Tamandua tetradactyla: one gene and its partners. The protein of the gene in region 1 purifies or fractionates together with the protein of each later gene. This does not show direct contact. Links are inferred from orthologs where the notes say so. Each region holds a gene or a part of one and is shown on either strand. Other genes may lie near its edges.

The links.
Region 2: the proteins of ATP1A1 (region 1) and VDAC1 fractionate together in Homo sapiens (co-fractionation; 3 studies listed by BioGRID, with this or other methods). This does not show direct contact. The link is inferred for Tamandua tetradactyla from reciprocal best matches to the Homo sapiens genes ATP1A1 and VDAC1.
Region 3: the proteins of ATP1A1 (region 1) and HADHB fractionate together in Homo sapiens (co-fractionation; 3 studies listed by BioGRID, with this or other methods). This does not show direct contact. The link is inferred for Tamandua tetradactyla from reciprocal best matches to the Homo sapiens genes ATP1A1 and HADHB.

Annotation. Positions count from the first base shown.
Region 1 is NC_135337.1:4,653,990-4,661,087, forward strand, and holds the start of ATP1A1 (sodium/potassium-transporting ATPase subunit alpha-1), read right to left. Parts: upstream 3,057-7,098; 5' UTR 2,906-3,056; coding exon 2,894-2,905; intron 1-2,893. UniProt on the Homo sapiens protein: This is the catalytic component of the active enzyme, which catalyzes the hydrolysis of ATP coupled with the exchange of sodium and potassium ions across the plasma membrane.
Region 2 is NC_135346.1:13,052,841-13,060,449, reverse strand, and holds the start of VDAC1 (non-selective voltage-gated ion channel VDAC1), read left to right. Parts: upstream 1-4,606; 5' UTR 4,607-4,625; intron 4,626-4,637; exon of another isoform or gene 4,638-4,730; intron 4,731-6,053; exon of another isoform or gene 6,054-6,141; intron 6,142-7,609. UniProt on the Homo sapiens protein: Non-selective voltage-gated ion channel that mediates the transport of anions and cations through the mitochondrion outer membrane and plasma membrane.
Region 3 is NC_135329.1:9,960,683-9,968,452, reverse strand, and holds the start of HADHB (trifunctional enzyme subunit beta, mitochondrial), read right to left. Parts: upstream 3,083-7,770; coding exon 2,803-3,082; intron 2,737-2,802; exon of another isoform or gene 2,261-2,736; intron 1-2,260. Other genes in the region: HADHA (trifunctional enzyme subunit alpha, mitochondrial), read left to right, coding at 3,033-3,270. UniProt on the Homo sapiens protein: Mitochondrial trifunctional enzyme catalyzes the last three of the four reactions of the mitochondrial beta-oxidation pathway.

The DNA of each region.
Region 1 (7,098 bases):
ATTTCACCTGAACCTTTTTTCTCTGTCCCTCTTTAAATCACTACTCATAAGCTATGATTTATTTTCTAGGCAACTAAGTTAATATTCAAACTGAATCAAGAACTGCCCTGAGAGATTTGGTGACACTTCCCTTCCCCCACTCTTTCTAAGCTTGAGGAGAGTTTCTTACAATTTTGAATAATTATGATGCTTACCTTTGGTGAGCTAACTAGCTGTGGGTGGTAGGCCTAACTGAAGATTTAAGCCAAGTTACTGGCAAAAATACCCAGTAAAAAAAAAAAAAAAAAAGGACAAAATCCTATTTCATCCAGGAATGATTCAGCAAGAGCTGTTCTTTCATTTGCTTACCAGAAGCTGGGGGACTGATTTTTTTTAACAGACATAGAATTACCTGCAATATCATTCAAACCTAGGTCCCAAACTGTAGTAGGAGCAGGAGGGAAAGAAATTTACAATGACCTTAAAAATTAGCTGCCAGCACAGGCTTCCTGGTTAACCAATTATCAGCAGGGCTTTAGTCACCACTCCACCCACGTTTTAATCCCCATGTGGAAAAATCCCAACATTTCAGCGTGAAATATCTTCCTGAACATTTGGACTATCACAGTAAGTCACTGGGGACAAAAGGGGCAACTTTATCCTGGAAGAATCTTTACCAACACCAAACACACACACACACACACACACACGCAACTTGATGTTCAATGTATCAGCGTTCTCAGAATACTAAATACAACCCAGGAGACAAGCATATCATCCTGTGTTAACCCAGTTGTACTTCAATTTTGCGTTTACTAGCCAACAAACATTTTGTGGTAATAAGACATTCTCCACTAACTACCTGAGTTTGTTGCTATTTTTGCCACTACTGTACCTGTGTGGTTATGGGAGAGACATACAGACATAACTTACCTGAACACCATCAACGTGGCCCATTAATTAAAAAAGCACAAAAACCCCAGTTTCATTGGAGAGATATTTAGAGATCTGCATATGAGGCTATGTTCAGCAGTAAACGTCAAGTCATGCTTGCAGAGACTAGGGGACCATTCAGGAATTCAGGCCTTCTGGGCTGTCACTAACCCATTAACCAGCTGCTTGACCTTGAGCAAGCCAGTTCACCTTCCTAGGCCTCAGGCACTTATCTACCTCCTACCTCCTCCCCCGTCAGTGATGTCTCCTCCCTCCGGAAATAAGCTTTTAAAGGGAGAAAATATAAAAGAATGAGCTTGAAAAAGCTTGTTTACAAGAATGACCTACAGTTTGATGGGGTGGTCCAGGCATAGGCCGCTAACCCAATTACCATCGGGAAAATACAGACGCTTTGCCCTAATGCTGCCTGGCTAGTGCCAGCTCTCAACATCTTGCGCTTTTCAAGGAGAGACAAGTTGTGCATTTCCACCTCTCCCTCCCAGGTCCAAGCCTTTCAATCACCACCTTCAAAACCCATTTAGAGTCCCCAAAGAATGCGGCCCTCCCCTTGGCCCCATCCCTAATCCATACCCAGGGGCCCCAAAGACCTACTAAGTGCAGGGCATGTGCTAAGAATAAGCCCCGGAGATAACGGAGAAGGATCCTATGCCACCAGCAGTCTCAAGACTTGGTCATTTTTATTTCGTGAACTGATACATTTAAGAGGATATATATTTTTTTGTCAAGTGGATCCTAACTAGACATTGTCTCCTTCGGGGCCGGAACCGGTCTTCTGCGGCCACGAGTGATCAGGGCTTTGCGCTACAGAAAGGCAGGAAGGTGATGTTGTTATGGTATTCCCACGGTGCTCCTGCCCTGGAGACCACTCACTTCCTTTGGGGACCGCCCTTCGGTGAGTCGGCTGGAGCCTGCAGGAGCATTCCTACCAAAGTACAAACGGGCTGCCCTGGGCCTCGGGTCCTTTTTGGGGTCTTATTTTATCCGGAGGCCCCGGTGGTTTTGCCTGTCCTCCGCCAAGGCACATCCTTGCAAAAAATTAACACCCCTCCAGTCAAGAGGTTCAGCTGACAATTCCAGCTGCCCGGACGCATCTAGTATTTATGGAAAGTGGCCCATTAAAGCGCTCAAAAGTATACCTTCAAGGGCCATCTTAGGGCGCTGGAGACACACCCTTTCTGGCACTAGCCCGCTCGACCGGCTCCGCAGTAAGTAAGGGGAAGCCAGTTTTTTTTTGGTTTTGTTTTTTTGTTGTTGTTGTTTCTTCCTTTGGGGGAGGCGGACGCCTCTGCGGGGAGCTGGCTAAGCCCCAGCACCTTCAGGAGAAGGAGCCTCGACCCCGCGCAGCTGTCCCCCGGCGCGGGGGACCCCGACGGCGCCCGGCCCTCGGCGGGAACCGCAGCCCGGGAGGCCACCCAACCCCGAGCCGGGCGCCCGGCGCAGCGCCCCAGGGGAAAGGGAGGGGCGCGCCTCTCCTCCCGGCACGGAGGGCGGAGGGCAAAAAGGAAGAAGAGATGGGAGGTGAAGGCGGGCGGAGGGAGGGAGGGGATCCGGGCTCGGGGATGCTGCCGGCCGCCGGCTCCCTCCCGGGGCCACCCATCTGCCGCTCGCCCTCCTCCTCCCCCACCCCCCAGCCCCGGCGCCGGGACCCCCGCCCGCTCCGCGCTCGGCGTGCGCAGCCCCTCTCCGGGCTCCACGAGCCCCTCGGGGGTCTCCACGCCGCCCCGCGCTCCCTTTGCCCCTCACCCCATTACAGCGCTCCCCCCCTCCGTTTGCAAAGTGCGTCGTCTTTTAAGCCTCAGGGCTTTGCCAACCCGTACCGCGCCGCGCTGCTTCCTCCTCCTCCTCCTCCTCCTCCTCCTCAGCCGCCGCCGCCGCTCCGCCCGGCCCGCCGTCCTCCTGACTTCCCCCTCCTCTCCTCCAGGCTTCCCGCGCCCCCTCCTCAAGCTCGCCCGACACTTACCCCCTTCCCCATGGTGGCGGTGGTGTGCGCCCGGCGCCGGCCCCGGCAACTGGAGAATCAAAAGAGAAAAGGAAAGAGCAGCTCCCGGCCGAGCGAGCCGGGCCGGGGGAGCGCAGAGGAGGCAACTAGGGCTGCCGCGGGGCGGGAGGGAGCGAGCGCGGCCGGCGGCTCGGGCCGAGGCCGCCGCCGGGGCTGCTGAGGCTGCTGCTGCCACGTGTCCGCCTCCTCCCGCCGCTGCTCCGAGCCCCAGACCCCGCCGCAGCTCGAGCCCGCGCCTCCTCCTCACTTCCTAAAATATGCAACCTGCGTGCTGGCCCCGCCCACGCCGCGGCACGTCACCGTTACCGGAGCAACCCGACACCGGCCTCGCGCCCGGCCCCGCCCCCGCCCAAGCCCCACCCCCAGCCCGGGGGCGCGCCGGCTGCGGCCGGGCCCGGCCCGCGGCGGGAGGGCGGCGGGGCCTGGGGGAGCGCGGGCCCGCGTCCCGGGAGGCCGCGCTCGCGCCGGGGGAGCGTCTGCGGGCCCAGCGCCCGAGCGCGGCTGCCGTGCGGCGCCCACGCCCCTCCGCCCGCCGCTGTCTGTGGCTGGCCCGGCTGCTTTGTAGGGCACAGGAGGTCCACGCTGGGTGCGGCCGTGTTCTCGGGACCTGGGTTCCCCCAATCTCTGCGGACTGGGGCAGAAACGGCGCGCGGAGTGGCTTTTCCAGCACATGTGGGAGCTCCTCTGGCCCCAGGGGACGCGCCGGGGACGCTGCGTGCAGCCTGCGCCGGCCGGAGGGACTCCGCCTCCCCCGGAGTCCAGGCCCAGCGCCCACCTGCGCCGCTCTGCGCTGGCCTGGCCGGAGGTCCTCGGCGCCCCCCTCCAACTTCCTTGCTTCAGGGTCCCGAAGTGCCAATCTAAAGGGTGTCTAATGAATTCATTCATGCTATTGTGTGAATGAAACCTACTAGTACAGTTTGCGGATTCGCTGTTTAGAGCAGGGAAATTTGAAACCCCGAAGAAAGCATATCTTAAGCAAAAGGGTCTGACTCCAGGGCTAGATGTTTAGGTACCAGTTTGGTTCATCTCCAACCCCCTGCTCCTACCTGAGGAGAGCAGTGTCATCTCCAGCGCAGCCTTGGAATGGTCTAGGAATGGTCTGGGGGGTGACGAGAGGCTCAAGAAGAGTCCCGCTCTCCACCCCTAGCCCGGGCGGGTTGCACCGCTGGGCTTCCCTCCCATTACAGCTTCTGTTTCTTAGCACAGGCTGCAATGGCTGAAGTTGATCAACATTAAAATATATATATTATTATTATTAACAGTGCTTTCAGAAAGTCAAGTACACTCTGGGAAAGCACAGGATTCGCAAGAGAAAGTCACTGCAAGCCTCTGAGAATTCCTAAGGAAAACATTAACTTCTTAAGCAAGTTAAAACTGGCTCTTTATCAACTTCAAGTATTAATTCAACATGAACAAATAAGGATGTGAAACAAAAGAAATGGGGAAAGGATCAGAAAGGAAAGGGGAAGGAAAGGAAACAAATGGGGGAGGAAAGGAAAGAAATGGGGAAGGGAAGGGGAGGAGACAAAAATTAGTCACTGCCTTATCAGTTAGATAATTCTCACCCCTTCCTAGAAGAAAGTGTTTCTTACAGCCCTTTCCTCTCACCCAAGAATATATTAGGTTTGGCGTCTCTTGCAGTGATCTACAGGCATGGTTAAATCAAGCCAGGACCTGGAGAGAAGAATTACAAAGTGAACTCAAAATCATGACTGCTGTGGTTAGAGTCCCCAAATCCAGAATAAAGTTCTTAACACTGCTAATTTAATAGAAGGTGTTTAGAGAGTGTTATCTGGGCTGTGTCTCCGAGGTTCCAGAAAATGCTTCATTTACATACCCTAAAGCCCTCTGTTACTGCTAGCCTGCAGGAGGCTTTTGCTTGCTAGAGATCTCTTAACTGCTTTGAGATTAATTATTCCTTGGGCCCTGGTCTGAATGGCAAAAGCACACAAAAGACAACAACAAAAAAAGTAGAAAGCAAAAGTCTGAACAATGTAAATTTCTCCTGCCAACTGATCTCCTTTCTCTCCCTTGGTATGTAAAATATTCATTCATTCAGCAATATAACCCTAATATATCAAGGCATTTCCCCTTGTCTCTGGAGCTGTTTACCTGGCAGCTGAAGGTTGATGAAGGTCCTTCCAGGAGGATCCCAGAGTTCTAGCTATGTTACAGGGTGGGGAAAAGGACATAAGAACTTGAAAACTATTAACTAAGATCTGTATTTGGCTTTAGGCTCCAGATAGCGATTTTGCATGTATTATTTACTTGGATTCTCATAAGTTTGCAAGGTAAAGGGCTTTGGCCGCACTTTACAAAATGAGAAACTGAAGGTCTGAGACTTCACAAGGTCACTGAGCTAATGATTGGGGTCATCTGGACTCAAAATATCAAAACTAGAACCATCCTCCTACTTCTGAAGTTTGGCCTCTAACCAAAGCACCAAGGAAGCTTTGGTTGGAGAAATAACAATAGCTTTCAAAATTGCAGTCTTCACAAATACAGAAGGTTTTCCTGGGCCGCTCATCTTTGATGACCAAAAGGATCTTGGCTACAGCCTTTCCTCCCTACTTTCTCCCATCCTTCACCAGTCTAGTTTGTGCAACATTGCAAGGAAGAGGTATCACTACCTAATAGAAATGGCCTAAGCAGATTAGCAAACACCCACCATCATCTGATCCCATCTCTAGAGGTGAATCCCATTCCATGTTTAGGGTGTTTGCTAATGCCATTTTCATTTCAGTCCTATCAAAAGAAACATAATTCAACGAAGACATTTCAGAAAACCAGAAAGGACCTCCCTATTGCTTCTCTAAAGCTGCATCTTTCCCTAAACACTACACCCACGTGCCATGGTCTAGACACTTCTGTTTAGTCTTCAGAGGTAGAGATTAACCCCAAGAACTGAGGACTAATTTTAAGAGGTTAAGGGGGAAAAAAATGAGAAAGAAGCAGGAGTTGCACGCTTTTTGTGCGAAAGGGTTATGGAAAGAATCCCCCCGGACAGGCCTGTGGAATTCAGAAAATGAGAAAGCATGGCCAGGACTCAGGTATAAACTGTCTCAGATACAAGAGAGATACCTTGGAACACAGTGACCAAAGAAGAAAATGTCCTTTATTATTTTTTTTGGGGGGGGGGCGGTGGGTATAGGCTTCTTCTCTTGGGAAAAGTTTCTGAATCGAACCCTTATTTTACAATGAAGAACTGAGTCCCAGGGAGTGATTGGCGCTGTATAATGGCAGGAATTTCATGCAGCTTTTCTAACTTCCAGACCAGAGCAAGGGATGATGGGGCTGCTAGTGGGGAGAAAGTTCTGCCTGTCTTCGATCTGCCTCTTTTCCTGTCAGCTCTTTTTAAGCTCTTAGTTTGAGGCATAATTAAATTGATTGTCCCAGAGACTCAGCATGTACAGACCTCAAGGCTGCCAAGTGTAGATGGCTTCGAGGAGGAGTTGACCAGAACTCTGGAGGGCTGGCCCAGCCATTGTGGAGACAGTCAGCAGATGTATGAAAAATATGATGCAAGTCAGTATTGAGAGCCAAGGATGCTGGCACTTTGAGCAAGTCCTCGCTGAATTGGATAAACACACCATTACAATTAAGGGCTTTAGAATATGAGTTGGAGCCCACCCCAAGTTAGCCTTTTCCATAGGAAGTAAAAAATTTGGGGAGATCAATGAGCTAGCGATCAGGAAGGACCAAAGTCTCTTTGCCCTCACTTGCCATACCAAATGTTTTCATTTTCCCTGAATAGCAGCAAATATATTACCTCCTGCTTAAAAAGCACAGGACTAGGCACAGCACTGATCATCAGAAATCTGTCAGCTGATAACAGGATTAAAATTTGCTTTGTCCTAAAGCACTTTCACTTCTATGGTTTCCTTTTTTTTTTTTTTTTTTCATTTTTAGAAACTTTTTATTTTGAAAATTTCAAACGTACCGGACAAATATAATGCGGACCTCAAACAGAGAACGCCTGCCTACCTGTCCCCCTGCTCCCAGATACCCAGATCCACCAATTTTAACATTTTGCCATATCATGCTATCTATCCACCCATCTATCTACCTATCTGTTTATCTATTATCAATCCATTTTCCAAACATTTGAGTTTAGGTTGCATACATCATGCTCCTTGAACACTTATTACTGCAAGTACGTTTCCTGA
Region 2 (7,609 bases), on another chromosome or scaffold:
TTGTATAACTATATAGCTTTTACAATGTGACCACGTGATTGTAAAAACCTTGTGTCTGATGCTATTATCCAGGGTATGGACAGATGAGTTAAAAAAAAGGATAAAACATAAATAATGGGGGGAGATAAAGGGTAAAAATGGGTAGATTGAAATACTGTGGGTCAATGAGAGGGACAGGTAAGGGGTATAGGATGTATGAGTTTTTTTTTCTTTTAATTTCTTTTTCTGGAGTGATGCAAATGTTCTAAAAATGATCATGGTGAAGAATACACAATGGTGTGATGATATTGTGAGCCACTGATTGCATTTTATGGTTGGACTGTACGTGTGTGGCTATTTCTCAATAAAAATATTTTCTAAAAAAGAAGTCATTATAGTATCATCTTCCAGGGGGTTGTGTATTAATTTTCTATTGCAGTTGTAACAAATTACTACAAACACAGTGGCTTGAAATAACACAGATGTATTATTTTACAGCTCTGGAGGTCAGAAGTCCAAAATCAGGCTCACTGGGATAAAGTCAAGGGAGTGGTAGGGCTCCTTCCTGTGGGGACTCTAAGGGGGGGGGGGGCACAGCAACAGTGTAGCATCTTCAGATGTCTCTCTCTCTGACCTCTGCTTCTGTCATTGCATCTTCTCTCCCTCTCCTTTAGTCATGTCTCCTTTTATGGTTCTGACCTTCTTGCCTTTTTCTTGGAAGAAAACTTGTGCCTTCACTGGGCCCACCTGGGTAATCCAGGATACTCTCCTCATCCCCAAATCCTTAAAAGCAAACTCATCTGCAAAGACCCTTTAGACATGTGCTGTAACATACTCATAGGTTCCAGAGACTAGGACGTAGACTAGGATGCAGCGGGTTGGTTAGTGTCTTCCTGAAATTCATATCCCTCGGACCTTTAGAATGAGACCTTCTTTTCTTTTTTTTAATTGAGAAATCTTCACACCCGTGCATTCCACACTTGGTGTACAATCGATGGCTCACAATATCATCACATAGTTGTGTATTCATTACCATGAGCGTTTTTTTAGAGAGACTTTTATTTGGAAATAGGGCTTTTGCAGATGTAATTAGTTAAGGATCTGAGATGAAATCATCTTGGATTTAGGGCGGGCCCTAAATCAGTCTTCCTTATAAGAGAAGACACAGACATGTCAAGATAGAGACTGATGGAGTGATGCGCCCACAAGCCAAAGAACACTTCGGGGTTACCAGAAGCTGGAAGAGGCAAGGAAGAATTCTTCCTAGGAGCCTTCAGAGGGCGCATTGCCCTGCTCATGCTTTGATTTTGGGCTTCTAGCATCCAGAATTGTGTGATGATACATTTCTATTGCTTCAAGTCGTCCAGACAATACATTTCTGTTGCCATACTTTGTTACGGCAGCCATAGGAAATTAGTACAACAATTTTATGGGGGGGGGGGTGTGTGCCATTATTCTCTACGGCAGTTCACCTCTACATTTTTAATGCTGTGGTTGCAGTAATACTGAATATAAGATTGCCTTCAATTAACATTGTAGCAGGATTTTTTTCCCATGTGAAGTCTTTGTAACCATATTTTCTCAAGGCTGTGAATGAGATGTGCACATCCATCCCAGGGAGGGGATGTGCTTCAATTTGCTCAAGCTGGAAACCAGGCTGTATTCCATCCTGGACTACTATACATCGTTTTGCAGCTGGCATTTCCCATACTTAGAATTATTGGGTGCACAGATGGTTCAGTGCTAGAATGCTTCCCAGCATGCGGGAGACCCGGGTTCAATTCCCAGCCCACACACCCCAAAACAAACAAAAAAACCCATGACCACCTATTCTTACGATTATTGCTTTCGCGCAGCCTCTCGTGGGTAGAACGGACTTATAATTCTTATTACTTATCGCCTAATTGCTTTCCAGAAGATTGTATCTATTTATACAAGCTCTTTGGCTTTTCAAAAATTAAATAAAAAGTTCTTTATTTTTATAATGATGGTATTATACACTCATTAAAGAGTATTTGGGATATATAGGAAAGACCAAAGGAAAAAAATCATTCATAGTCACATAAATTGAAGCTACAATTTTTATTAATATTAAATTTCTTTCCATTTTTTCCCTCTTCTCCTCCTTTATATATACATAATTTAAAATCCAGGAAGATGATGTTGAAATTTCTTTGAACTATTTTAGACCTGGGACGTCACCAGTTGTTGCATACGGATGAGAAAATTTTTTATTGTCCTCATCTTGGGATGAATTCCATCCTGTTTCCCCAGTTGGTCACTGCTCTCCACGTCACTCAGAACCTGGGTGCTGGGTCCTTGCTCGGATGATGAGGGTCAGAACACACTATGGGATGTGTGAGCTGACATCCTTGACCACAAATCCTCAATTCTGACTCCTCCTACCCATATTCAGGTCTGATGACTTTTCTGGAAAACGGTCAGAAAGGTTAGGTTTTATAACAATTCAGTTTTGTAATAAAACTAATTGATGCTGGTTACAAGCAGAAAATTTTTTCTCTTTAAATAACCATTTATATAAGTTGCACCTTCCATTTCTGCCTTCACGGAGCTCATCCATGGACCACGCTAAGAAATCATGTTGTGGTACCAGGACCTTTGGCCCTGAAAGAAGGGTGCTGTCTCGGTTTGCTAACGCTTCTGGAATGCAATATAACAGAAATGGATTGGCTTTTACAAACGTATTTATCAGGTTACAAGTTTATAGTCCTAAGGACATGAAAACGTCCAAATTAAGGCATCCAGATAAGGATACCTTAACTCTGAAAAAAAGGCTAATGGTGTCCAGGGTTTCTCTGTCACAGGGGAAGATACATGGTGACATCTGCTGTCCTCTCCTGGCTTCTGGTTTCAAATGTCTCTCTCAGCTTCTCATCTCTCCTGGGGCTTCTGGCATCTTCTACATTGCCAAATGTCTGTGTCTGGTTTTAGATCTCTGCTCTCTTGTCAGCTCTGAACTCTTCCTCTCTGTGAGCTCCTTTAAGGACTCCGGTAAAGAATCAAATCAAAAGGTCACACCCTACAACAGGTCCGCTCCTACAAGACTGGATTAAATAACACTGGCTTTTCTGGGGTACATGATAGTTTTAAATCAGCACAGGTGGGAAGGGGTCAGGTTCTTAGGAAGGTGATTGGCTGCTCTCCACCTTGATAGATATCTTCAGTAGAAGCCCTATGACTGCTAGATATAAGAAAGAACTTCCTTACAATAAAGTATTCTTACTCTGGTAACCCATTTCAATGTTAAAAATAAAAGAAAGATCTTCCCTGACTGCTGTACTATGTTTTGTTTGAAGAGAGGAGAACTGAATTAGGACTTGGAAGAAAACTCAACCCAAGGTGGGCTAAGCAAAAAGGGAATTGATTGGCTCAGGTGGCTGGAAAGCACAGGGTGCATCTTTATACCTGGCTGGCTCCAGGAGCATCATGTCCCCAGGACTTGAGCTCTGCCTCTGTCTTGTGGGCTGGCATCACTTTCAGGGGAAGTCTTTCTCTCAACAGCCCTGAGAAAAGTCTTACTGGTCTCGTTGGTCCCTCCCTGTAGCCAGGGCGAGCAGTACTGCACTGGCCAGGGCGAGCCACGTGGCGACCTGAAGAATGGCCCTGGAGTCAGGGATGCGGTGAGCTCCATTGCAGCTTGTGGACTGTGAAGAGGGGAATAAGGGTCATTTGCCCAAAGAAAAACTGTGGTCAGGGCTGACTAGTCCCCACAACCCCCTTCAGTTACCATCTAGGAACTCAGGTGTTCTGCTGGGAGAACTGCACCCTGGCCGGGTCAAGCTCAAGGAGTGTTATCGAAGTGGCACAAGGAAACCCAAGGACAGGAAGAAACACACTCTGACTTGGGGTTTCTTAGCTCACATTTGCAAGAGAGGACCTGATGGCTGGGCCCGAATTAGATGCCCACCCCAATGCCAATCAGCTGTGGCAGGGAGGGAGGAGGTGTGGCTAAGGTGTGTCTGTGTGCGTGTGTTATGACCTGGTATAAAAGACTAACTTCACAGGCTTCGTGAGACCTAGCAGCCAACTGCTTTGCAAGAAGCAATTTACTTCTTTCATTTCTCAAATACCTGGAAAAATAGCTGCTAGGAGCTTTGCTATGGGGGAAAACTGCTAATTTGCAGTGCAAACGTGGTGCACCGGAGAGTTTTCCCTGAGATTTCACCTGGTCAGAGAAGGCTCTGCATTTAGGTACCAAAGTCTTCAACGCCCCTGCCAGTTCCAGCTGAGTTTCTTCAATGTTTTCTTGCTACATGTCTCATTTTAAGCTTGCAACAATCCTCTGAAGTTAAAGCTCTGAGAGGTTGGGCTCCTTGCTCAGAGTCCCACAGCCACTAAGTAGTTCTGAGAGCATGCAGGGATTAACCTGAAAGTAGCACCTAGGGGAGCTGTGGAAGGGCGTCAGGGCAGGTGGGGGCAGGTTAAAGACCCTAACAAGATGGGGTGGTGGGGAACATACCAGGGGAGAGAAAGCATCTCAGACAATTTCTTTCAGCTTCACAGCTGAGCTCCTATGCTAACCAGCGCAAGGTTTCTCAAGCCCCGCCTTCCCTCAGGGCCACCTGGTTCCGCTCTGCTTCCCTGAAGTCCTTCCTGGCCTGCGGAACTCTGCCTCGCTGTGCACTGTGAGTGACTCAGCAGCTTTCTCTGCCCGCCCCTCTCTGGGAGTGGGCTGGGACCTGTGTAGGGACAGCCAACTTGGCAAGCCTGAGGCTCCAGTTAGCAAAGAGGTAACTCACTGGCCTGGAGAGGGGCCTAGGCTCTGTTCTCCCCTCCCCTCCCTAGGACCCGGAGGGGCTCTGAGCCCCCAAAAGGCCTAGGGCTGTTGTGTATCAGTTCCCATCTTTCTCACCCCCTTCCCTCCATAGGAACACCACTTCTAACCCGAGTTGCCGCTTTTTCTATTGAATCTGCCGCCTGCTTGCTGGCCCCAGCTGTCGTCTGCTTTAGCGGATGCCACAGCTGCCCGTGACCAGCGCTCTGACTCTGTAGCTCTGCTTCTCCAACACGGCGCTCCAAACGCTGTTAAGGACATTTACTGGCCGAAGGGGAAGGGTGCGCAGAATCTCCACGAGTTCATCAACCCTCGAAGTCTGCGTGGGAAAGGCTCCCGCGGGACTCTCGGTTGGCAGCTTCGGTCACTACCCGCTCGAAGTCTAGCGGGGAGACGAGCGTCATTCACCCCAGGCACATTGTACCGCGGGGAGGCCGGGCCCAGGCTGGACGCGGGTCCCCCGCGGGGCGCTCGACCGGCGGGTGGGAATGGGCGGTGACATTCGCGCTTAGTAAGACCCAGCAGTCGCCATCCTTGTAATATGCAATTTACTTCTTTCACTCCTCAAAGGCCCGGGAAATGGCTGCTAGTAGCTGTACTACAGGGGAAAACAGGGGGAAAACCTGCTAATTTGCAGTGCGAACTCCGTGCCAGGTGGAGCCTTCCCCGCGATTCGCCCCTGGACGGGGAAGGCTCTGAGAATCGGATGCCGCTTACGGGACAGTCAGAGGCGCCCGAAACATTGTGTCCAGATCGCGGAGCCGAGGAGCGGCAGTGGCGGCCGCCGGCCCGGGACTAACCCCGACGTTACACTCCGCGCGGGTCTGTGGGGGGCACGTGGGGGCCACCCCTCCCACCCAGGCGCCGCCTTCCACGTCAATTCCCAGGGGGAGCGTCTCTCCGCAGCCCCGCGCGCCTTTCTTTAGCGCGGGAACCCGGCTCAGCTAACCGGAAGACCCCACCCGGCGGGAAATTTCCAGGAATGACCGGCCCGCTCGTGCGGTCGCTACGCATGTCCCCGAGCACGCACACACCGTGCGCACGTCGGTGCCATCCCTCCCCGTCGTTCCGTGCACGCGTGCACGCAGGCACTCACGCGCGCCCACACACGCGTCCGCCCGGGGCTTGGAGAAACCCGCTGAGGTCAGAGCGCAGCTGGGGGGCCGGACGTAGACCTGGGCTGGGGCCTGGGAGGCGGCCCGGGCGGGACCTGGGGGCGGAGCACGCCGGGCCGGGTGCGCAGGGTAGGGGCGGGTCCGCGCCGCCGCCGTCGGCGCCGCCCCGCCCCGGCCCCGCCGCTCGCTCGGTTCCTCTGCGCCGCAGCCCCCGCCGTAGCCGCCGCCGAGCCCGCCGCCTCCGTCTCTGAGGTAGGCGCCGCGGGGAAGGGCTCGGTCTCCGCCTGCGCCGGGTGCCGCGGGCCTGGGCCCGGGGGAGTTGGGAGGGCGAGATGGGGGAGGAGCGCGCGAAGGCCAAGGGCCTAGCAGGAAGCCCGAGGGAGAGTGCGGAGTGGCCCCTGCGGGCCTGGCGGGTCAGCAGCCGGCCGAGGAGGCCGCGCGGTCGGGGGCCCGGCGGACCCGGGCGGGGTGCTGAGGCCGGGGGTCCGGAGCCGTGGGCGCTGCAGAGCACATGGGGGCGGAAGGGCACGGGCGGTCGCGTGGAGGCCCGGCCGGCCGCGGGTCTAGGTGACCTTCCTTCGCGGTGCCCTCTGGCCCTCGAGCCCGCCAGCGCGGGCCGGGCAGGGGCCTGTCCGCCGCCCACGCGCCCCAGTTCAGGCCCGAGGCCTGCGCGGGCCACGCTGCCGCCCTGGTGATGAGCCGCGTGTGACGCCTGCTGCCCCGCGCCCCTGGCCCGGCCCGACCCGCTCGGCCCACGCCCGAAGAAGCTGGCGTGCGGCGCGGCTCGCGCGTTCCAGCGCCTTTCCTGGCAGAACGGGCGGCCGAGTCGACTTAGGCCGCAGGGACAGGGGCTTGGGCCTGGGCGGGGGCGGGGGGGGGGGTAGGCCTTGGAAGAAGAGGCCGGGAGCGGAGCCGCGTGGTTGCAGTGGCCTTGAGAGGGATTCCTGTCTCGGTCGCTCATTCATTCACCAAACGCGGCGGGGCCAGACTGTGGATTTGAGACCCGCAGCTCAAGTGATTTGCCCAAGGTCACACAACTGGGAAAATACCAGACTTCAGTTTTTTTTTTTGTAAAAAGGGAGCAATTATGTTTCTCCGTCGTGGGGTTCTTGGAAGAATAAAATGAGGTGGTTAGTAACGCGAAGCTTTCAGGACAGGGCCTGGCACTGAAATAGCCTTGGAAAAACCGTGACGCTAGCCCTTGAGGCTTTTTGGGAGGATGCTGCAGAGTGCTTTGCTCCATAGTAGTAGTCTGGAAAGAACTCAGTAAATGTAGCCCCTGTGGTTTTTTTTTTTTTTTTTTGCATGGGCTCCGGGAATCGAACCCGGGTCTCCAGCACAGCAGGTGAGGATTCTGCCACTGAGCCACCGTTGCCCCCCCTTATAACCCCTGTGATTTTAAACATAGTTATTGCTGTATTATTAACGAGCGTGTGTGCCAAGGCACTGATTAAATTTCAGCAAAATTCACAAAAAATCCTGTACCTGTATAGATTGATAAGGTCGGGCCGGGGCAGGAAGCTTGAATGCAGAGGTGGACTCTGTTTAGCCTAGGTCTGTCACATCTGAGGCCCCCATCCTCTTGACCAGCGTCCCCCAGAGGGAATAAGGAAATGGGCGCCTCCTTTGCCAGGGCAGACTGCCCGGAGCCTGCCTTTTTTTCTCTTTGCCTCAGCCCTCCACTGACTGAGCTCCTGCAGGGCATGGTGGGCCCCATGCA
Region 3 (7,770 bases), on another chromosome or scaffold:
ATTATAACAAATGTACAACAATATTACAAGGTGTTAATAAGAGATGATATATGGGGAAAGTATACCTAATGTAAACTATGGACTATAGTTAACAGTAATATTTTAATGTCCTCTGATCTATTGTAACAAAGGTACCATACTAATACAAAGTTTCAACAATAGGGGAGTATAGAAGAACGCTGTATTTTTTAATATGACTTTCTCGTAAACCTACAACTTCTGTAATTAAAAAACAATAATAATTTAAAAACATTATGCTAAGTGGAAAAAATCAGACACAAAGTACTACATATTGCATGATTCCATTTATATAAAATTAAGTATAAATAAATCTATAGAGACAGAATTAGATTAGTGATTACATAGTGCCAGGACAGGACAGAGAGCTTGAAAGGTGACTGCTAAGGGGTTTGAGGTTTTTCTTTTTGGAGTAATAAAAATGTTCTAAAATGGATCGTGGCAATGAACGCACAACTCTGTGATTATACTAAAAGCCACTAATTGTGCACACTGGATGGAGTGTATGGTATGTGAAAATATCTCATTAAAACTGCCTTATAAATCACCACCACACCAAAAAGAAGAAAAATGAAGAAAATCACATGTTTCACATTGGAAAGCAGTGGCCGAATCCAAATTCTAGGCTCAGCAGCCTATAGGTATACAGGAACTCCAGCCAAGGAGACAAAGAAGCCCATAAGATACCATGGTTTCTAGAAGATACGGATGATTCTACATGAATCTAGGATACAAATTCTCTTAAGCAAAGGTCATCTTGAAATAAAACTCATGAAAATAATCAAGGACATTTTGAAAAAGAAAAAAAGACACCTTGCTTTAATAGATATCAAAACTTTCTAAAAATAACAGATCTGATTATATAAACATTTAAAACATCTAAACAGCGAAAAATTTTGACTCGAGGATTTTTGAAGCATGGAAACTCCAGGGTAGGTAGGCTTTGTAGGGTGTGGAAGCATGGAAAAACGCTTAAAGTTGCGGGCACCTGGAGCAAGGAAAGGAAGAAAGGGCTGGGCAAGTTCTGAAACAAGATGGGATGGCTCTTGTTAGAGCCATAATTTCAAAAAGCATTAAGACACAACGTAACGGTTAAGAGCACAGACTCTGAAGCCAGATTGCCTTAACTGAAATACTGACTCCACCCTTTCTCTGCCTTAGGATCCCAACTAATTGCAGTTCTTACCTCATAGGGCTACTGCAAAGATTAATTTAGAACAGTGCCTGATACATAGTAAGAGTTATATGTGGGTCTGTTGTTACTTTTAGGAGGTAGTGACAGTGCTATAAATGTACTTAGTTTCTGCTCTGTACAAGCCATCTTTCTTAAGTATTAAGGATCAAAGAAACAGGACATTTTTGCCCCAATGGAGCTTACGATTTTGCTGAGAGTGCAAGGCATAAAAAAATCAAGAGGCAAAAGGGTGATCTAAATCAAGGGTTGCCAAACTACAGTCCATGGGCTTCCACCTTAGAACAGTTTTATATATTTTTAAAGGGCTGTAAAACAAAACAAAAAAGAACATGACAGAGCCCTATGCAGGCCTCCAAAGCCTAAACTATTTTAAAAAGATTTTTTTACAGTTCAAGTCCTGTCTCCTGCCCACACAATGCTCTCTTCAGTACCTCATTCCATGAAGCACTTATTATTTAGATGAGGGGTGGCAAAAAAATCTTTTAAGTTGGAGGGCCTTTGGAGGTCATTAAAATCCTTTTTACAATTTCCTACAAGGTGATCACTGGTCATATCCAGTTTCTACTTAAAAAGTACACAATGATGGGGGACTCACTATTTGACTTGAGTTTTAACAGAAATCTCTCTTCTTTTTTTTTATACTTGTTTCAGCCTCAATTTCCCTGCCATTTTTCCCGCCCGCTGGCCCCTCTTGCTGTCTCTCTTGCCAGACATCAATCTGGTAAGCAGTGAGTCTCAGATTTATATCTGAAATCAAAAAAATTTATCTACTCTTCTCGGAACCTCCCAAACTTTAGCTAGAAAAATGCAAATAAGCCTAGGTTCATAAGAATTAAATGGAATGGGAGGAAAGTGACTGAAGCACAACAGGCCCTCAAAATTATTTCCTTTTGGCTTGAATCGTCTCATCTCTAACAGGACTCTGGAGCACCGGAGCAAGCAGCGTCTCGGCTGGAAACTAGGAGACCTAGGTTCTAGTCTTATTTCTACCACCTGTGACCTTGGATAAAATTACTCAGTCTGATTTGGGGGCTTCAGTTTCCTTACCGATCGAGTGAAGGGGGTGAATGACCGATGATACCAGGTCTCTCACAGATTTGAAAATTCCCCTGCATTATCCATCTCCGAGGAGGAGGGCGAAATGTCTCAGCTCCTCCCACACTCGAGTCCCGAAAGGACACAGGGCCGAGCTCCACCCTTTGAAGCAGAAAACGGGGTAGACCCGTGGTCCCCTTCAGGAGCTCTAAGGCCGCTGACCTGGCTACAGGTGAATAGTAAACACTCCAAAGTAGGTTTGTATGCCGACAAACTGTTGGCTAACTTGCGGTGATAAACTAAAAGACACAGGTGACACTACTGCCCACAGTACAATTAGAAGGCTAGCCCAAGTTACTGCCCCAGTACTAGTCGCTCCGGCTACAGCACGCCCAGTCGGGGCGCTTCCTTCCGCTCGCCGGAATACTAGCCTCACAGGGAGAGAAGCCTTCTGGCCGGCGGCCACAGGTCTCGGGTCTGGCGAAAGGAAAGGAAGTGCGGCTGTCGCCCGGGAAGAAACTCAGGCGGAAACCCGAACGCAAACATAGTCCCACCTTTGCTCTCGCCCGCTCCGACTCCACTGCGGCCCCGACTCCGGGTAAAATTCGGACCCAAGCGTCTAGAGTCTGTGGGGCCAAGGGGCGGGGCCTGTTTGAAAGGACCCCTCCGCGCCCCGCCCACGGGCTTCGCGGGCTGCCCGCCGGATGCCTGACTGGAACGGCGGCTCCTCGCCCCTTCCTCGACCGGCCTCTTTCCCTGACGAGGAGAACGCCCTTTTCGCCTCATGTACCGGGAGCGAAGGGCAGGGTCGCGGGGCGGACGGCACCTCGGCATCTGGGTTTTAGTCAGGCAGTACGGCGGACGCCTGGCAGGGACCACGCTGCTTGGGGGAAAAGTCCTCTGCTCAGCCGCCCCCGCTGGAAGCGCTTTCTACTTTCGTCCTTTTCCGTGCAAGATGGTGGCGTCCCGGGCAATTGGCAGCCTCAGCCGCTTCACTTCCTCTAGGACTCTTCGCTCCCCAGGTGAGGCCTGGCGGAGGGCGCTCTGCAGCCCGGGCAGAACTCCTGCCCGGCCTGGGGCGGCCCCGGAACCGCGTCTCGGGCTAGCCGGCGTCTCCCCGCCCCCGCCTGGGCCTTCCAGTGCTTGGGGTGGACGCCGGGCCCCTGCGTCCCTGTGAAGGGATTGCGGCTTCCTCTCCCACGACACCCAGCGCCGTGGGGCTTCCAGGCTCCGTAACCCCTAACTTTCTGAGTCCTTCCCACCCGGTGCCGGAATTTTCCGCAGATCTCCCGCGTCGCACTTCGGGGTTCACGCCCTTCCTACTGGATCCGGGTCCAGAAGAACGGGCATCCCCGGTCTCTCACATCTTGGCGTCTTCACAGCACCTTCCCGTAACCGGCGTGACAGGTTACTGCCGCTCCCTTCTCCTTTGTTGTCAAACCACTTTAGTACTTATTACCGCTTTTCGATGGAGCTCAGCTCTTGCCCAGTTCTGTCAATCCTAGTGTAAACGTATGTATGGTATGTTGAATTTCAACAGGAGGTTCAGCAACTTGCTGGAAAAGAAGCAACTTTTTAATTTAATGCTCAGATGTCCTGTAACTTAGAAAATAAAGCGTTAGATAATTTTATGTACCTTTTCTGATCTTGTTTCTGACACTTCCCTGTCAGCCTGCATTTGCTGTTATCTTTTCTCTTCAAATTGGCAGTGGAAGGGTTAAGGTGGGTGATGGGAGAAACTAAGCATTTCTCTCCCTTCTCAAACCTGTCACGTGAGATGTGAGATGCTGTGCCTAATACCAATTATTTAAATTGTTAAATTATCATATATATTCCCACTTCCTTCTTAGCTTGTCTTTAAGGCTGGTAGCTGAATTTCCCCTTACTTAAGAGGGATTCATTTTGGCTGATTCAATCTTTTTCTGCTTTCTCATTTCTCCCGTTGTTTTTAGTCTCCACAGGAGCATTCTCACTGATGTGTGTGTACCAATCATAGTATAACTACATTATTACAGAAATTGAAGTGTAAAGCTCAGAAACAGGGTTAAAAATAAATTACCTGTTCACTTGCTACTCACATGTTAGCATTTTGTCATCCTTCCTTACAGATTTTTTTTCTGTTTCCCACTTTTATGTTTTAACACTTTATAAAAATCAGATTGTATGTATGAGCTTACACCTGCATTGGTTTTGAGGTACTTCTTATGGGTTGACAGCTGTTGTAACACTGAACTGGTAGTCAGGTAACCTGGTTTCTAGCATCACGACCCTTTCATTAATTAGTTGTGTGATTTGGGACAGATTTCATAATCTAAGCAGGCTCTATTTTCCTCATCTGTAAAATGAATGGATGAGACTGTGGGTTTTCTTTTACTTGAGAAGTAGTTTGACAGAGAAAAGCATGAAATTTGGCCTCTGTCTTCTGAATTTAAAGCTGGCATTTACTCTCTCACGACCTTGGGCAATTTCTTTATCTCTTTTCTCATCTGTAAAAAATGTGGTTAAAAAATACCTCCTTACAAGGTTGTTTAGAAATCTAAAGGAGTTTTTTAAATGTTAATCAGTTTTTCATGGAGTAGGTGCTCAGTAAATGTTAACTATTGTTAACTCTTTACAGCCCTGAAGAACTATGATTTTTGTATATCTGGGATTTTTTTAAAGTAACTTCTACAATTTAAAAATGTGTAATAAACAGTTGCAACTTTAGTTGTGCCATATTTTCGGTATGGAGGTAAGGTATGCACATATATAAACATTTTTTTTGTATCATGTTTTCACCAGTTAGAAAGTGGCTTATTATAGTTACTGTCGTTTTGATAGCAATTTATAAATTTTGGAAAATTGCTTAGTAGGTGAATTTAAAGTTACCTGCACACCTGAATTGCCATTTAGACTCAGTAGATTGATTTCTTCCCCTTAAAGTCTGTGCCAAGATATTGCCAGACATTTAATGAGATATGGCATTTACTAGTAGATGATTAAATTTTATGAACTAGACTTGTAGTTCTTGAAGTTTTAACTCATTCCTCCTCTACCAGTACTGTAATTCTCAATTTGATTGTCAGATGAGTCACATCTAGAAAAAAATACCTTGTCTAATTCCCCCTCTCCGCAACCTAAATCCCCAATTATGTGAGCTATGAAATAATTTAATAGGAAATGTCATGTAATTGGATGCAAATACCTTACTTAGTCCTCAGCACATGCTGTATATTTAAACTTGACTCACTTCCCTAATCCCACCCTTTTCCCAGGGTTGGATTTTGAAAAAATCTGTAGGTTACTACAACCAAAGTAACATTTTCAAATTTGAAATTTGTGCCAGTATAATCCATCTGTCTCCACTGATTCTAGTCTTATAATGTGTTGTAGTTATTTCCTTGAGCTAAATGACAAAGATGATTAGAAAGTAGATCAAAGGTTACTCTCACTGGCTGGCAACAGTAGATGTAGGCTGAAGTTCACGAATTGCTGTAAGGTGAGCTCTGCTGATTTGGGATCCAAAAGCAAAGCTACTTTGAACTCTGAGTTGATTTCATTTACTCTGGTTTGAAATTCTTTTCCAAATAAGTTTGTATATCTACTGGTTTCTGTATTTTTGTCTCTATTGATTTAGAGGAACATTTGTATATTAGCTAAGATTCTCTAGAGAAACAGAATCAGCAGGAGAAATCTGTAAATGTGAAATTTATAAGTGTCTCACAAAACCATGGGGATGTAAGTAAGATCTGTAACACAGGCCATGAGCTGACAGCTCCAATGAAGGTCCTCAACGAACTTTCAGGAGAGGCTGGCTGGCTGAAGCAGAGTGATTGTCTCTTTTGAATCCTCCTTAAAAGCCTTCTGGTGATTAGATTAAGCGTCACTCATTGCAGAAGACACTCCCGTTGTGCAGCCAATGTGGTCAGGATTTAAGTTCATGAAATGTCCTTACAGCAACAGACAGCCTAGCACTTTTCTGACCAGACAACTGGGCACCACCACCTGGCCAAGTTGACACATGAACCTGACCACAGTGTACGTGTGCACATGCATGCTTAGACTACAAAAATAGCTTAGCAGGTAGGTTTAAAGGTTTTAAACTATGGTAGGCTATTGAGCAACCAGTCATTTCCAATATTTAATCTTTAAAATGGCAACCGTTGCCCAAACCCGTATACCTGCTGTATTTTCTTTTCTTTGTTTAGGGGCTTATCTTGTCACATATTTTTTTTACATATCTATCATTTCTTATGTTTCTTGGTCTGTATTATTGCACCCATCCCTCCCAACTTTCATTCTCAACCAGTCCTCTCCCACTCTCATCCACTTTACTCTGGCTCTAGCTAGAATTACCTATTCCCTGCTTTCCCTCCCATTGGAATTTCTACTACATTATAAGCAATTTCCATTCTTTCCAGGTCTGTTTTCACCCATTCATTTATCTCTACTAAGTAGGAACTGATTCTCCCCAGATACTGTATCCCTTCCTGGCCTAGAATGTAAGCTCTATAAAGACAGGGATTTTTGTCTTCTGATTCTCTCCAAGTGCCTAGAACAATGAATGGCACATGGTAGGCCACAACAATTGTTTTTGTTGACTGAATGACTACAAGAGCCTGTTGGAAGAGATTACAGTTTAATTGGGGGAAACACCTGCTACAGATGCAGAGATTACAGAACAAAACAGTAAATAATAAAGATCAAAATGCAGACAGAGAAGGGAAAAATTGTTTTAGATTAGAATCTGAAGAAAAGACTATGTGGAAAAGATTGGAGCCATGATACAGAGACAAAGAAGTAAATAAAGATGACATGATATGTAAATACAGGGACTTGGCAGAATAGGAGAGGCAGAGTTCACTCCGGCTCCATGCAATGAGAAATGGTACAGAAAAAAATGACTGGGACAGTGGTTCCAAGGAGGTAGTGACCAGAGACAGTCTTCTACCCTGTATAGGGAAGCCCTGAATGAAAAAGCAGAGAAATTGGTACAGAGAGAGTGGGGTGAGTATGCGTGGTAATTATTCCAGCCTACTGCTGCCTTGTTAAATCTCCCCTCGCAGCTCCACAGCCAGGAGTTCCCTTGGGGAACTTGGAAGCCAGCACACTTGCTTTCCCTGCCCACAAAGACCAGTTGGTCAGGGTCTAGTAACTGTTTCCTACTCCTAAGACAGGCTGCTATGGGTGCCTGGTCTTTTTTGGCAGAAACTTTGGGGCCTTTCCTGGGGAGGAGGGGGAGACCCAGAGTGGTTCCTGTCTTGACAGCCAGCCAGCAAAGTAGGCTTGTTTGGGTCCTGATATTGCTACCCTTCCCTCATGAGGTCCCAGAGACCTCAGGCGTCCACAACCAGAGAGATGAGACTGAGGAAGCCAGCCAAACAATGCTGTGACTAGACATTTCCAGGTTGGCTGTAGTCAGGGAAAGTTGAAATACCCAGTTCCACAGCCCACGATCATCCAAAGTGGGAGTCTAGGGGCTACCAGATCTAACAGGGTCTATGCAGAGATGAACACTGTCCATCCCCCAGCCCCAGATTTGG